Linked DNA regions of Oryzias latipes. The protein of the gene in region 2 interacts with the protein of the main gene of each other region in a pairwise test. Links are inferred from orthologs where the notes say so. Each region holds a gene or a part of one and is shown on either strand. Other genes may lie near its edges.

What was found.
Region 1: the proteins of fst (region 2) and txn interact in binary tests that used the Homo sapiens proteins (3 or more experiments, as listed by UniProt). The link is inferred for Oryzias latipes from reciprocal best matches to the Homo sapiens genes FST and TXN.

What each region holds. Positions count from the first base shown.
Region 1 is NC_019876.2:18,250,122-18,254,583, forward strand, and holds the start of txn (thioredoxin), read right to left. Parts: upstream 3,006-4,462; 5' UTR 2,809-3,005; coding exon 2,785-2,808; intron 1,587-2,784; coding exon 1,482-1,586; intron 812-1,481; coding exon 746-811; intron 544-745; coding exon 478-543; intron 1-477. UniProt on the Homo sapiens protein: Participates in various redox reactions through the reversible oxidation of its active center dithiol to a disulfide and catalyzes dithiol-disulfide exchange reactions.
Region 2 is NC_019867.2:5,754,360-5,758,636, forward strand, and holds the start of fst (follistatin), read right to left. Parts: upstream 2,896-4,277; 5' UTR 2,740-2,895; coding exon 2,649-2,739; intron 1,542-2,648; coding exon 1,344-1,541; intron 1,184-1,343; coding exon 965-1,183; intron 822-964; coding exon 597-821; intron 28-596; coding exon 1-27. UniProt on the Homo sapiens protein: Multifunctional regulatory protein whose primary function is to antagonize members of the transforming growth factor beta (TGF-beta) superfamily including activin, myostatin, GDF11 or bone morphogenetic proteins (BMPs).

The DNA.
Region 1 (4,462 bases), on a different chromosome or scaffold from region 2:
CGTTTCTGCTACTGCAGGATGGACATTAGGGCTTCCAGGCTGGTTTAATTGTTTAAGTCAAGCTTACACAGGGCTTAAACAGGGATCACTTAAACCAGGGCACACATGGCTCTCTGGTTAAAGAAAGACAAAGAGGTTTTCCTTTTAAATAGCAAAAAAGACAAAGTAAACTTAAACTTCATTCAACTCATTCCACAACATTTGACAGACGGGACGCATCACAAGTCAAACTAAAACATTTTGGCAGATTTTTGGGCCCCATGTACCAAAGGAAATCAATTTGAGGGCAGTAAGTACACTCAATTTATAAATAGTATTTTACAAATACAAGGATTTTAAGATAACCTTATGGTTTGAAAAATACAGTAAGACTCTCTTAATGATCCCATGTGACACAGGGTCTCTTTTTTTAAAGGAAGTCATCAGAACCTCTGTAAAAAGTTATAAACTTTTCAACTACTGCACTCAGTTACTTACCTTTTTGCCCCCCTTGTAGAAGTGGAATGTAGGCATGCATTTAATTTCACAGAAACTGCTGATATCCTGAAAGAGAAAAAGCAACAGTTTTTTTTTATGAATCAAAATTAAAAAAAATAAAAATACAATTATTAAGTAATTATTGTTGCTGGCCCCCAATTGCAACCTAACGCTTTCATAAAGTAGAGAGACTAAAAACAAAAGCTGGTTTTGCCCATTAAAACAAAGCTAGTTTGTACTGGCCAAGGAGGAGAACGTGCACACTCACATCAGCCTCGTCCACATCCACCTTCAGGAAAACCACATTCTTGTTGTCATCGCTTTCCGACATTTGCTGCAAGACAACAAGTACATACAACAACAGTACATTAGACTCAACTCTACAGAAACAGAGCACTTTTACTGAAAAATCATACTGGGTGTGTGTTGGACCATTTCCTGTGAACAAGCACTTCCTCTCCTTGAAGTGGGGAGGTAAACCTTATAGGGTTGCCATAGTAACAATGCATCTACATTTAAACACCGTTTTCAATTGGTCCCCCTGTTTCTATTCGCTGGTTGGGACGGTTGACAGAGAGGGGTTGTAACTTCCGAGCTCTCCGACTAGCTTAAAGCCCATCAAACCCCCAACCTAACACTACAGGTGAAACAAAAATGGTGAGCAATATCGGAGCTATCAGGCATACAGTTTTGAGCCGGATGACAGCTCAGACGAGGAAAACAAAGACGTACATGGATCCATTTGTCTGCAAGTAGAGGCATCAGTATGGAGTGGAGCAGGGAGCTTGTGGCCTGCAGATTGTAGCTTCTACATTACAACTACAAGCTCTGTCAAAACTGTCCTTTCTTGCCTGTGACTGATTCACAATAAGAAAAAGAAGTACTCAGAAATGCATTTTTAAGCTTAAATTTCTTTATACATGTTCTCCTTTATCAGAAAATGGGCACAAAAACATGTTAAAAACATTTTCATCGGATCAAGTCTTTAAGCTCCAGTTATCTACCTTGTACAAGGGGGCAATCTGTTTGCAGGGCCCACACCATGATGCAGTAAAGTCCACAACCACCAGCTTGTCTCCAGCGTCTTCCAGAATTTTCTTGAATTCTGCCTACAAAAAAAGCATGTTTCCATCATTTATTTTAAATAAGCATAAAGGTAAAGAATTCGTTTAAATAAATTACTTCATTTTGTCAGCAGGCTTTCCCATAGTGTAACGATAAGTGGTTATCAAAGGTTTGGCTAATGATTAGCAGAACAGCCCCAGATCAAAAGCAGTCGCTGTATCTGAATTCCCACCCTAACCCCCAACTTCTAAAAAAAACTATAGAGTGCACCGACTTAAAAGCAATTTGGACACCATGCCCACTACTTTTTTTTTTAATTTACGGCGGATATGACGTCATCGATTTCACGAAGTTAAAATCTAATTGATAGGAGCATTTTGCGAGGATCATTTATCAGTCTTCTGAAGATAAAAACACTTGACAGGTTGTTCAGAAAGTACATTTAAATACATTTTTAAGCAAAAATAGATTTGATGCCATGCATTGTGATCTATATTCACAGATCTAGTGAGCATTGATGCACACTGTTTTTTTGCGGAGATTTCTGGGAAATTTGCAGGGCACTCGATTTTGGAATTGTAGAATCGGACAGCACTACAAAATGGCGAACGCACAGTGCACTTTGTAGTGATTAGTGAAGGAATTCGGACGCAACCAGTGACACCCAGAAGTCTGAATGATTTCAGCAGTTTTGACATCCAGGCATGTGTACACACGGACAGAGGCGGCCCGAGGCCTAGCGGAATGGTCCAAGTGTCGCAAATAGGAGTTGACTTTTACTCAAACTAGTACTTTATTGTAGCTTTCTGCTCATCTGAGCCATGATAGGAACGTTTTTTTGGTGTATTACTAAAAGATTTTTTATCTAGTTAACGGTAAAACCTTTCCGAAAACTTGTAACCCTGGCAACGTGTTCGCGCGGCAACAAGATAGCAAAGTCCGCCCTCGTGCATCATGGGTAGAAAATGGAAAAAAAGAAAAAACAACTAAACATTAGCAATACAGCCTCCAGAGTTATTCTGTCGGAGTAATTTATTCCATCAACGACAATAAACATGCTAACTCTAAGCGAATAAATGCTTTAACAGGGTTTTTTTTTCTTGCAAAAAAGGTAAGTAGATAGAAGCTTGCTGAGAAAATAACCGCGCGGCTACCTAACGTCAACTGTGCTGTCCTGAATGTATGTAGTAGTACAGCGAAATAAATAAAGACATGATTAATTGTATTTATAGAACTACTTACAAGATCAGCCACTTCACGGACCATGTTTGCTGTTTTGAAAAGGCAAACTCTCGCTGAATCTAAAAGACAGCGGCTTCGCAAAGACCACACTTTCAGTCAAAGAGGATGACCTGCCCTATTTATAACGGCGTCAGACTAACACGTCGCAGCGGAAGAGCTGATGGGTTGACTAACAAAATAAAAGCCAGTCTTTTATGTTTAAGCGAATCATTTATATTAAAAGAACGCCGTGTGTATACGTCATTGCCACTATGATTGTGCATGAAATGTGTTGTAACCGTACTTGATTTCATGTTGTATCAGCAGTTGTGTTATTACTGGTAAAGCTTCACGAAAAATACTTTTATTTTGAAAGTTATAAACAGAATGGTTTCCTTTCCTGGATTCTTGCAAATATTTTAGCTCTTTACTGAGAATAAAAACTACAGAATCGGTGATGTCAGGCTATATATATCTGAGGCCCGTTAGTGCTTCGTTGTTGTTTCGTTGCGGCTTAAAATAACTTGCAAAACTAATCTACTAACAATAACGCGTCCTTTTAGAGAATTATATCGATAGTAAGTTGAAATACTTTTTTTGTTTTTAATTCCGTCAACGCTTGATCAGACAGTCGAATCACAATGACTTGGCAAATTTCTGTACTACCGTAAACATGGTCACTGCAGACCATATTTCCTTGTACAAACTCTGGTCAACGCCCATGAGGCCACACCCCTGCACTAGTCTTATTACGTAATAGCTTAAAAAGACTTTATTTGTTTATTCTTTTACAACTAAAGTAAGGGGTAAACAATAAACAGAAAAGTCCATACTATAACAAAAAATTGCAATATTTAGACAAATTATTGCAGTTTGATCATGGTTGGAATAAGTTTAGGGAAGTGATTTAATCAGAAGATTAATTCTAAAAGATGGTACACAAAGACTTGTTTTTCCATTTACATATTTGAATAAAGAATTTGAGTATTTAGACTACATATGTGAATGTTCCAACAGGTTCTATCGTAAAAATAAGGAAACTTCATTTGAAGCCTAAGAATTGCCTAATTTAGACCTTAAAACATTTTTTAAAAGTATCTTTGCATAATTCCATTCTTTAAAATATGATGCAAGTTCAAATCAGTTAGGCAATGCATGCAATACCAGCATACATCAATAAAGACCAAAAACAACCTTTATTATAGAATAAACAACAATATCTGGTTACAGTTTTATCTATGTCGCTGTAAAACAAGCAAATGTCACTTTTGGATTTTTTTCCCCGTTCAGGTAGAAGCCGTGTCACAGCTGTAAGAAAACAATCTTTTTATTTACGTTTGTCCGGGAAAAAAAGAGAAAAATACTAAACAATTTAAATAAAACTACATTCTATTGAGAAATACAGACATATCTCACACATATGTATTTTAAAAATAAAATTAATTCACTAAACACTGAAAAGACAATACATATCTTGTAGTTATTTTTCAGTGCAGTATATGTAAAATCCTCCTTCATTAATTGTGTAAAGACCTTTATTGGTCATCCATCAGACAGCAACAACGGCTTTGCCAGTGTTGTCTCCTTTCAGCATCCCCTTAAAAGCAGCTGGCATGTTTTCAAAGCCTTTGGTGACGTGCTCCCGACATTGCAGTTTTCCCTGCAGAGGCGTCATGTGTGTATACAATTAATAGCAGTG
Region 2 (4,277 bases):
ACTGGATGTCCTCGCATGACTTTGCCTCTGGATGAAGAGACGAGGAAATCATCATCAGTGGCTACTTAGATTCCACACGTCTAAAAACTTTTTTAACAGAATTAGATTAGTTCGGGTTTTCTGTGCATTTATCTGGAAAAAACAAACAAACAGCATCTATCTTATCAGATGCATCAGGAACACAAAGTTGCATTCAGGGTGAGCATTTTTCCAGAAAATACATGGCTCAGATTGATTGTTATCTAGATAGGAAACCATTTGGCCTAAAACTTGCAGCTTTTTCTTCATGGCCCCCAGCTCTCCCCTGTTTTGCTCTCTAACTTCCTCCACTTCGCCTTCACTCTCTCCCATATGGGATAGTGCTGCCAACATCAGGAAATAATAAGATGTCTATCATTTCTTGAGCAAACACAAGCAAGTACCAAACACCCTCTTTCTCTGAGACCTCCTCCCAACTGGAATGTTGGCAGAAACGAGAAGTGCATTACTGCAGAGGTGGCCAGGGAGAAAATGTAGCCACAATCAAAGTGGCTGCAAGGAGGCGCTGTGTCAGGGGGTTCAGTGTGACGCTTTCACATCTCTTGTTACAGACTTACTGATGCATTTTCCCTCGTACGCAACTCCGATAGACTTGCCGAGGAGACAGGTCGCCTTTCTCAGGTGACAGGCGCTGGCATAGATGATCCCGTCGTTTCCACACAGGTACTGCTCAGGTGACGTCGCCTCAGGGCAAAGCCGATTACACATCACACAGTATGCGTTGTTTGTCTGGTCCACGACGCATGTTGAGCTGCCAGGACACAAGACATCACGGCACGTTTCTGGAGACAAAGAGAAAATGATGTCAATGGGAAAATCAATGCAGCAGCCACTCCGCTCTTTCTTCCTGCTCCTCTCACTTGCAGCCTGAAAAGACTCAAAAGTTAATTAAAAAAACATAAATAAATAAATAAAAAACACCTACTCTTGCATTTCCCCTGGTACTGCACGTCCAGGTCGGGGTGGCCTCTGCATTTCGCCTTCAGGAGAGCGCACTCGTCCTTGTAGGTCTTCCCGTCAAAGCCGCAGACCGGTCCTTTCCAGGTGATGTTGGAGCAGTCTGGAGCGCACACGCAGCGCGGTTTACTTCTTCTGTTCATCTTGCATCTCTTCCCAGGTCCGCAGTCAACATTATCGCAGCTTTCTACAAGAAAAACACCCCCGCGTTAAGGAATGTGTGCGTAAAATGATTGACATTGAGTGACACATTGATACTTTACGTTGGCTGAATGCGTTAATCACATAATCGGTTTGATTGGTGGTGTGCTTTAGTTTATGCGAAAAACCAAGGAAAATGAGTGCACCTCCACCTTTGCAAGGTATGCAATTTGGAGCTCCGCCATTGAAGATTATCCACTTAAAGAGCGTGCTGTTGGGAACGTCCTCCTCGGTCCAGGACGTTCCCAGCCTTCCACTCCGGCAGCACTCCTCCTTGCTCATCCCTTGCATGTAGAGGACCTGACATCTCCCGTTCCTTCCCTGCTGCAACCAGCAGTTCCCGGCTGCAAACAGCAACAACATTAAAAGAAAAGAATCTTGAGTATCGCTCGCTGAACGTGTATCACAGACCCAGACACACCAGACACGCAGGCGGATTGTATTATCTGAAACGCTCCCTCCCTCCTCTTTCACCCTCCCGGTGGTATTTTGTCAGATTTTTTTTCCAAGACTGTTAACACTTGCCTATCCCAACTGTGACTGACAGCTCTTACAATGCAAACTTAGAAAAGTAAAAAAAGAATCTTTTTTTCTTTTATTCCAAAAATCTCCTTGTTGCCATTGCGCACAAACTGAATCGTCTAGACAGCGAAGCTCAATCATTACGAAAACCACGGTCTTTACAGCAAGACTGAACAAACCACCATCTCCAACGCCTCACTAAAATATCCCAGACATGTACCAGACACTGACATGTCTGCGACACATGGGGGAATTTAATTCAAAGTCATATGACATAAAAAAACAGAAATGTCAACCTTTGACACATTTTCAAAAAACTATAACAAAATTGCTATAAAATTTGATTTTTATGTTGGTATAATGTGTCTATGACATGATGTTTTATGGTAGATCTCTTGGAATTTGGAACCCCAACATAAATTGAGGTTTGCTCATTTATTTCATAAGCAAAAATAAAAAGGAAAAAGGAAGAAATTCGAGCGCAAAAGCTGAAAGGGTGTGTGCCATAAATAAATAAATAAATATAAACTGCTCATAAAGCTATCTGTGGCCACTCTGAAGTTTGTTGGAGGGCAGGCGACAGCTTCATTAAACACTTTCAACGCTCACATAAAGGTCTTGAAATATGTGCAGATATTTACAGAACGCTGCGTGGCGGCTTCTAGCGCGTGAGCCCGCCGAGGGCTGCAGAAATGTGCCATTTTCCCCACTTTGAAGTCTGAAGCCATTACCACATGGCACCTGTTTTATATAGGGTTAACGCGCACGCCGTCTGGCGCACAGAGTTTTGGTCGTTGGGAGGAAGAAGAACCAGAAGTCACTCTGGAAAGTTTCCCTTTGGCAACGAGATTCCTGCATCCGCGCGTTTAGAGGTTCTACATTAAAACATATTAAAAAAAAAAGTCAGGAGACAGACAAGGAGAGCTTACCTTGAACCTTCTGATGTTCCATGAGGTGACAAAGCCACATGAAGAAGAGAAAAATGCCCGGGTGGAGGTGGTGATTGAGCATCCCAAGCATGATGGAGAGGCAAAGTGAGCCACGTATTTGACACAAGCAGCGCAAAAGTAATCTGCTTAAGGTGGCAGGGCTGAATAAGTGTCAGTCTGAGAATGCAGCCTCTCTTTTTAAATCTATATGGGGTCTCGGGTTGACTGTCTGTGGTGGGCGGTCCCCTCTTCTGTGGGGGTGGGGAGATGTGTTTTTTTTTTTTCTTACCCAAGTTCTTTCAATCCCAGTCAGGTGACATCGTTACAAGGAACTTTCCCTTCCCTGCGCTGAGAGGAGCATGGAAATATTTGTTATGCAAAGCCAGACGTTTGAATCCTGAAGCTATAAGAGGAGTGAAGAAAAGAAAAATATGAAAGTATAACATTTGTTTACTATATGAGACTCGGATTCCCTATTTTTTTCTTGCAATAATAATGTTAACATTAATATTAAAATTTATATTTTGAAGAATTGCGTTTCTTTAAAAGGGTAACGAAACCCATCAGATCATCTCGCAGTCCCTTCAATCTAGGGATAAGATGATTGGTAACTGATATTTGTCCACCAACTGCGGACAAAAGTGTAAATCTTTTGATGAGCTGCCTTTGAGAACATATCCGAGCTCAGACAATAATAGAATTCATAGTAGTCGGCAGCCGCGCGGCTAATATTAGAACAGACAGTTGTTTGGGTTTCTTTCCCGGGTCAAGCTTTTAAATATAATCAAACCTGTTTCCGATGAGACCGAGAACTGGGGTGTTGCGTTTCATTGAATGAAACGCACACACATTTACAAACACACACGTGCGCGCGCGCAGATCCGCTGGCTGGAGCAGACGCGCGCGGAACTCCTTCAGAAGTCCTTGCGCGACCTCTTCGGCGGAACTCAGGTGCCGCGTCCCTGTGCCGCTCAGAGCGCAGCGTCTGCTGCGCGCCGGGAGTTCCGAGGACGCGCCGATCCGCGTCAACACATCACCGCTCTGTCTCGTTTACTTGCAAAATATGAAAGAAAATCCTCCTGAAAGAGGACGATCTCCGACAAGATGCAGGTTGTACCCTGCTTGTTTGAACAAGTATCACTACTAGTACGTTTCCATATTTTCAGAAAGGTTATTCTCAGAAGCACAATCACGCACGACAATCAGGAAACTTGTTGGGTAGCGTGCACACAGGCCCAGACTGGAAGGCACAGTCACCTCCTCAATTCAAGGCGAGGGCTTCATTATGTGCTTCTAGCAGACAGAAATGCTTGGAAATAAAATGTATAATCAAGTTTGAATGTCTACAGTAATTGAATTTTATTGTTAATGAACTAATTGGGTGATAAACTTTGATCACCCCTCCCAATTTTTCCATTCTAAGTTCCAAAAAATGTCAAAAGATTCATGAAATACTCTTTTTTTTGGAGTACAAAAAACGTTTTGAAATGGTAAACAGTCTGCATCTGCTTTAATCAGTGTCATTTAATTTTAATTTCAACATGTGGCCCAACTTTGAACATTTATTTTGTTAGAGGGTTTCAAAGAAGAAAAAGGGACAAAATCTTTAGATCATGTTGTTTTTTTAGT